Ovis aries: one gene and its partner. The protein of the gene in region 1 purifies or fractionates together with the protein of each later gene. This does not show direct contact. Links are inferred from orthologs where the notes say so. Each region holds a gene or a part of one and is shown on either strand. Other genes may lie near its edges.

The links. The genes of interacting proteins can lie anywhere in the genome.
Region 2: the proteins of SHC1 (region 1) and LRRK1 purify together in Homo sapiens (affinity purification with mass spectrometry; 3 studies listed by BioGRID and IntAct, with this or other methods). This does not show direct contact. The link is inferred for Ovis aries from reciprocal best matches to the Homo sapiens genes SHC1 and LRRK1.

Annotation. Positions count from the first base shown.
Region 1 is NC_056054.1:105,194,912-105,198,970, forward strand, and holds the start of SHC1 (SHC-transforming protein 1), read right to left. Parts: upstream 2,853-4,059; 5' UTR 2,721-2,852; exon of another isoform or gene 1,754-2,720; coding exon of another isoform or gene 1,748-1,753; exon of another isoform or gene 1,744-1,747; intron 1,703-1,743; 5' UTR 1-1,702. Other genes in the region: CKS1B (cyclin-dependent kinases regulatory subunit 1), read left to right, coding at 3,212-3,270. UniProt on the Homo sapiens protein: Signaling adapter that couples activated growth factor receptors to signaling pathways. Participates in a signaling cascade initiated by activated KIT and KITLG/SCF.
Region 2 is NC_056071.1:4,897,986-4,901,556, forward strand, and holds part of LRRK1 (leucine-rich repeat serine/threonine-protein kinase 1), read right to left. Parts: intron 743-3,571; coding exon 571-742; intron 1-570.

The DNA of each region.
Region 1 (4,059 bases):
GGAGGAGTGAGAAGGAAAGGAGGGCGATAAGAGGAGGTCTGGATCAATCCAGACCGGACAAGGGCAGGCCAAAGAGAGCAGGAAGCTGAGGGACCGGTGGGGCCGGGGGGGGGGGGGGGGGGGGGGGGGGGGCGGCGGGCGAGGAGGAGGTTGAGGGAGGAAACAGAGGCAGCTGGGGGTGGGAAAGGGAGGGGATCCCTGAGCTCAGCAATTCCCTTCCTGTCCTGGTTGAACACTCAAATTCCCTCAGCCTCCAGCCCCAGCGCCCCCCCACCACTGCCCCACAGAGGGGTGGTGGCCCTAGGGAGCCTGAGCCATTAGCCTCCTTGGCTATCACAGCTGTGGAGGGAGCTAAAGAAATGGGAAAAAGAAGGACATGGTCCCAGTGGATGCAGGGAGGGGCCAAGAGGAAAGGCAAAGCTGTTAAAGTAAGAGGAATAAAGTCCAAGCTGGGTGGCACATCAGGGAGCCACCGGGCAGGAGCTGGAGCAGAGGACAGTTTGGTGGAGGCTTGTTCTCCATGCATGGCGCCTACCATGCCAAGGAGCAGAGGCCCAAGCCAAATACTCTTCTGCCCCCCTCTTCCACAGGAAAGTAAGCTGTCAAGGGCAGAAGGGGTGAGGGGTGGCCAGGGCATTGACACTAAGGTCAGATCCCTAGACCTCCAGGTGAACACATACCCCTCCTTTTTAGTAGTGACCAGAGAGAGGGCAGGTATCCACCAAGGAGCATGATACCCCTCATATCAAGGAAAGAGTCTGACCACAGGAGATGGGGCAGTGCAACGGCTGTCCAAGAGAAGTGGCCAGGAAGGGACAGAGGCGCAGAAGTCAAATCTGTGCTCATGAGAAAGGGGTGCCAGAAGAGGACTGAGGCTGGACACAGGGAACAGTCCCAAACTCATTCCTCCCACCCACAGCATCCTGCCACAGCTCTGCTCCAGGAGGCCACAGGGGAAGTTGGAAAGCAACCAAATAGAAGTAGTAGTAAAAGATACATATACCCTCAGCAGGCTCACCTCGGAATTACCTATCTTTAAATTTACTTCAGAATATTAAAAAAATGCAAATTATTGTGATTACAGTGATTAACAATCCTGACAATGAAAACATGTTAGATACTGTGCTTACCACCGCCCCCGTAGTCCTGAACCCAGGAGAGCTTTACCACCCCATGCACCACTCCTGAGAAGAAAACCTATCACTGTTTCCTAAGGCCTCAGCACTCAGAAACAGAGAAAGAGGAAAGTATTCTGCCAAAGCCTCACCGCCCCCCACCCCCCACACACACACAAGCACACACCAGGATATCCTATCTTTAGAGGTGAGCATTCTGTGGGTGCCTGCAGAATCCAGAGACAAGGGATGACCTACAGGTGTGGGCATGTTTAGAAAAGAAAGAGGAAGTAGGGCTCTTTAAATTTACGGAGGAAGAAAGGAGATTGCTATTGGCAATCTGAAGGAAGAAAGGGGATTGCTACTGGGAATCTGAACGACTGGGTGTGGGGAAGAAGCTGCATGTGGCTTCTCAGCTCAGCAGGGAGGAGGAGGCAAGAGAGGCGGAAAGTAGCAGGAAATGGCGAAAGCCTCAGGAATGTTTCCAGCAGGGAAGGCTGGGCAAGCAGGACCAGGAGAAATGCCCAGACTAGAACTCTGTCTGGGGGAGGGGAAGAGCCAGAGAAGTGGTGGGGCCTGAAGAGTCCCTTAAAAAAAAAAAATCAAACATCAAAAAGGACACTGTTACCTACACCCATTCCAAGCCACCGTCTTCAGGTGGTAGAAAACTTTCTCTTCTGTCACACCCACATGTCACACATCGACAAATCCACGGCCCTACCCAGCTCCCGTCGTACAGGTATGAGACAAACAGCTGTTTCTGGGGTGGAGTCGGTCCTGGGAAGGGAAACTCAGGGAGTGGGGCAGGGAATCTGTGAGCAAGTCTCCCTCCCACTCTCGTGCCAAACCCCAAGTCCAGCCCCCTTCAAGTAGGTCCACCCTTGGAAGGGGCTAAGGGAGAGGGAAAGGGCTGCCTCTAATCTCTTACTCCACAGAGTCAGAGATGTGAACTTTTGACCCTATCCAGTGGAGCCTAAGAGCTCAGGAAAACTGAGCCAAGGGCCCCAAAGAGAAAAGGAACGAGGAAGCGCAAGCAGGTGAAGTTTCTGGGATTGAAGACAAAGCTCCTGAGGCGATGACAAGGGTCCAACCGGGATAACGCTCCTGAAGGGGCGTGGCCCCTCAAGACGCGTGCACCAGAGACTCCCAGGAGGCGAGGCTTCTGGACGATCCGACGTGGATTAAGGAAGGGGCGAGGCTTCTAAAGGGGCGGAACCCTTAGGGAGGCGTGGCCTCACGAATTCGAATAGTTCTTTGAGTAGCAGGGTTCTGCCCTTTTGGGAGTTAGGCTTTTGATAGACAGGGGTTAACGGAGAATAGTCTCGAGAAGGCGGGGTTTCGGGGAATCGGAAGGACTAATGCAGGGGTTTGGAAGCATGTCTGGGGGTGGGACTTCCAGGAAAGCTGGACGACAGGGTAGGATTGGGGACAGTAAATGGAATATAAGTCGGGGTTCGGAGAGCCCCCTGAAGTTGGGAGGTGGGACTTCCGGGGAGGGGGTCGCAGAGGGCGGGACTTGTAAATGAAGACCGGAAGTAGGGTCCCGGGAGAGGGGTTCCGGGGTAGAGGAGTGGGTCACCTAAGAAGAAAAATGTCCCAACTCACCAGGACTTCATGGAGTCTCCGCACCGCACCGCGGGCCGATTTGGTTCCGGATCACGCCACTGTCTCCTCAGGTTGCCGCTCCAACTTTCTCCCCGGGCCCGGCCTCCCTGGAGAAACTTTATTGCACTCACTTCCGGCCTCACTAACCCCTGACCCTGTACCTCATTGTCCCTCCTTCACCCGTCCCTCTTTCCCGAATCAACCAATGGCAGTGCGCGGACGAGCACAGTAGCAGTGATAGCCAATAAAACGTCTATTTTTTACTTACGGCAATTCTTGAGCAATGTTCATTCCAATGAGGACTTGAGTAGAAGCAAACCTAAGCCAATCGGAGGCTTGAAGGTGGGGTTGTCCCGCCTTCCGGCAGAGGGACCAATAGAAAGCGCAGGCGGCGTGTTTGAAAGCGAGGCCAAAGAGGGTGGGAGCGCGTGCTGCTGGGAGTTGTTCGGAGGTTGGCGGCGCGGGGCTGAAGGTCCTCAGGCAGAGTGATCATGTCGCACAAACAAATTTACTATTCGGACAAATACGACGACGAGGAGTTCGAGTACCGGTTAGTGCCGGCGCGGGGGCAATATCAAGGTCGTGAGTTCTGACAACTGAGGGCACGAGAAGTTGGTAACGGGGACTGAAAACTGCAGAGTTGGCGCATGCGCGGGAGGTTAACGGGAATGGGTGTGCTGAGAGTGTGAGGCGCATGCGCGAAAGGTAGGGGGGCAATCAAAAAAAACCCCTAGAGTGATAGCGAATTTGGAAGGAGGCATGGGTGGTCGTGGTTAGAGTGTTCGAATGTTAGAATACTGACCACCCTCAGCTTTGCGGGTTTCTGGACCATTCTCTCACCTCAGTTGAGTAAACTGAACTTGCCTTCCTGAGACTGCTTGTATTACAGCCACACCGTAGAGCCTTCTGGGAGAAGGTGGCAAAGGCGAAGCTTGAATTTTCTTCGAGTCTTCAAAGTGAGGAGAGTTCTAAGAGAGCCTGAGTGTTGCTTATTAATCCATGGGAAAGGGGCGTGGTTGTCTGATTTGTTTTAGGAAGGGGGGCTTCGAGGAACTGGAATCGAGTAAAACTGACCAGAACCACTGAGGAAAGACTTAATATGGCCCTAATAGATTACCGTCAAATGTTTGAAGGGCATCTACTTGGGAAACAATTATGGAGTGTTTATAGGTTTCAGGTGTTCTGCTAAAGTACACGGATAAGCCATGGTCCCTGCTTTCAACAGACCTAAAAAATATGTGGAAATACTGACAGGCTTCAGAAAGAAGATGATAATTGGTATAATAGAGCTATGTACATGTAGGTTGTGGTGGGAGCACATAGGATTTACCAAACATGA
Region 2 (3,571 bases), on another chromosome or scaffold:
ACCAAGTTAAAGTTCTATGCCAGTGGTTCTCAAGCTTGACTGGACAGTGAAATCAATCACCTGGAGAGCTTTAAAAAATATGATCCCTGTGTGCCATACCCACAGATTCTGACTTGTTGGTCTGTGTCTATTAAGAGCTCCCCAGGGGAGTTCAGTCACAGCCTGAATGGCAAAACCATGGTTCTTCTGGGCATTATCCCTGAGCAACAGCATATTCAAGGTCAGTGTCTGGATAAGCAGACTCTGAGTCCCGGTCCACAGCCACAGAGCCAGGGAATGTGGACGTTGGTAAGACTGAAACCACTGCTCCTCATGGGATAGTCTGTCCAAGACAGCTAGGTGCTGATCTGGCATTCACAGAATGACTCAAGCGGGTCTGTGGCCCACAGGAGAGGAGGCAGCCACGCTGTCCCAGTGTCCGGACCCTAAGCCAGCAGTTCTGCTGCAGGAAAGGGTCTTCAGTCAGGCTCCTCCAGCAAAGGGTGTCTCCCTCCCCCCACTCCCACCAGGGCATAGCCGCAGGGGCTTGGCCTGCAAGCAAATAGTGCCCTATGCAGAAAACGCAACTACCTGGAGGTCCATCTCAGCCAAGCTGATCAGCATCCGTGCTATAAACCTCTGCCAGAAGCCAACCGGAACGAAGCTCATCTTAAACACTCTCTGAATGGTGTTGGCTGTGGGGTGCCGCATGCCGTGGGTGTCCAGGCCGGGTTTGGACGGAAGCAGATGCGGCAGGAGGTAGCTGAAACACCAAAGAGGGCTGCTGAGCCAAGGCCTGAGCTCTGCTCTGGGGCTCTCACCCCTGCAGGCAGTCTGGCCTGGGGCGGGATCTGCCAAAGCAGCGCAGGTTGCCCGATGCCTTCCTCCCAGGGCCTTTGGAACCATTTTTAGAAAGAGGGGGTAGTTTATATGGTGAGCATAAATACTCCAAGAGAAAACGAAGATGGGCATAGCGAATCAGTTTGTCGAAGTCTCTAAGATAGAGACTAGAACACGGCGAGGGAAGACGTGAAAACATCTGTGGTCATAAACACAGACACAACAAATCACAGTCGGTTCTCTGTAAACCGGGTTGCGATTGGGGAGTTACTTAAAATTAACTTCGGATGGTGAAGGAAAAACAAATACAGCTGCACAGTTCCAAGGACAAGATATCGGGGGTCAGAGAAATGTCTTTGGCCTGAGAAGCTATTTATTGTTCTTGGCCAGTTGAGATAACACAATTACCTTGAAATTTCGAATGAGGCTCTTTGTGCAAAAGAATGATGTTTTATAAGAGCAGTCTTACTCATAAAAGGACTGAACTGCAGTGTCAGTGAGCTGTTCATGACTGTGATCACTTTTAATAAGCTGAAACGAGGGAGGTCCCTCCAATAATTCCCTGAAAACCAGCATCTTCTGTGTGTCCTGGAGGAGCTAAGATGGCCTTGGGCAGAGCCTTGGGTGTGTCCTTAAAGGCTTGCTTTCAGTTCTCTTAATCCTTTAAAATTCCATTAGTGTAGGTCCTATAAAATGTTTTTAGGACTTTCTGAAAGAAACCCCTGAAAACACTATGGAAGGAAAATTCAAAGACAGCCTGGGGGTGGAGTCCCCAGGGTGTCTTCAGCACACGGCCTAATCTCATTGCCATTCTGCTTCCTTAATGGCAGAAGAGTGGGGATGCCAGCCTTGCAGGGTTAGAGAAGAACGGACAGTGGCTGTGTAGGTGAGGTCCAAGGGGACAGATGGTGGCGTTTCGGTCCTTTTCAGCCATTATAGGTCTTGGCCCAAAGGACCTTGCCAATGAGCCCAGCTGGAGTGCCTCTCTCCACAGCCAGGAATTCTCTGGCACATGCCTTTTAGTTCTGAGAAGTCCTTTATCTCTCTGACCTCAAACAGGAGGCCCTTGTCAGTGCCCAGTGAGATCTAGCCTGCTTCTTCTGCCTATGCCATGCTCAGCTTGGGCACATGGGACCCCCTCCGTGGCTGTGCCCTGGGACTTCCCAATTTTTTCCATCTGGCCAGCGTGCCCGAGGGAGGGGGCACACTCTGTACCCAGGTGCCCCAGCACGTGGCACACACAGCAGGTGTTCAATATTTTTGAAGGTACGGATGACTTAAAAGCCAGAATGGCAAGTGAAGAGGTTTAAACTGATGGGCAAAGGAAGCCCCTCTCAATGTGAGCAGAGCCCTGGGCGAAACCACCAGCACTGGCTTTAGAGCGACCACTAACAGGGCAGGGCTGCCAAAGGTGTGGGCTTGGGGAACTAAGAGGGGAGTTCTTCACGTGCCTGCTGACTAGAAAGCCATGAAGACCTGGGCACTGCACGGGGTTTGCACTACGGCGGAGCCAGTCCATGATACGTCCCTGAGGCTGTCTTAGCAGTTGGGCCAGAGCCTTCCCCGAGTGCTGAGAGCCAGTGCATCCCCGCCTGGAAGAAGTACAAACACTCGAAAGTGTAGAGAGAGGTTTAGAAAGGCCCTGAAGGTTTTCCCAGGGACTGCAGGTTGAAAGGAGCAGCAAATGCCTTTGTTTTTGTTGATCATATAAAAGCTTATGGTGCAAAGAGCTGAAACTCCTTGTCTCTGGGGTACAAGGGACCCATTATATCTACACTTAGAGGTAGGTATAGTGCTCAGACACTCCTGACTTTAGATGGAACTAGACACCACTGACTATGAGTACTTAACGCAAAGATAGTAACAATAACAGCATTGATGATCCTGGATGTCCCTGAAGCTCAAAGGTGCAGGAGATACGTTTCATAGTTCACACGTACCCTCTGATTTAATCCTCACATTGACTATAATACTAGTAAGTGATAGTATTATTTCTATTTTACATATGAGGAAAAAAAGAGGCAGTTGCTTTTACAGAGTGAGAGTATTTCCGCATTCCTCTAACCTGCTGATAGAATAATCAGAAAACTGTCAAATTCCGGCAATGCTGTAAACTCACAGGCTGCTTTACCAGGGGCCAAAGTCAAGGACACACCTGGGCCAGGATGGGAGGGGTCATGTGGATTCTGAATTCCCCTTTGGGGTTTCTCTTTTTAGGACTCACTCTTGGTCCCCATGGGGCTGAAGCAGGAAGGACTGAGGCCCCTCCCACAGTCATTAGGCCAAGTGGATATATGGGTGGGAGCTCAGGAAGCGATGGCCCAGAGTTGGCTCCCAAGAGACCCAGACTGTGCTGATGGAATTGTTTGGCTGGCCATAGAGTGGCCAGGCCAGCCCCCGGAGGGTCCCGAGGGTGTTCCCCCAGAGCTCTGGGGTTGAGGGGCCGGGTGGTGCTGTGTTCTATGACAGGCATCAAAAGGGTCTGGGGATTTGGCATCCTGGCCACTGCCTCATGGCCAACATCAGCATCAGACCCAGGAAACAGCTGAGACTGAAGTAGAGAAAGGAGGCCCTGAGAACCAAGCCAGAGTGCCGTTAGACTGAACCCACATGCCCCTCGAGTCCCTGCCCTCCCTGCATTTTGAAACTGGGCTGGATAGTTAGCATGCACACTTTTGTACCTACTCCATTTTTACTCATCAAATAACCAATCAACCGCTCAAAGCATGAACTCCCCAAAGCTACTTTTAAG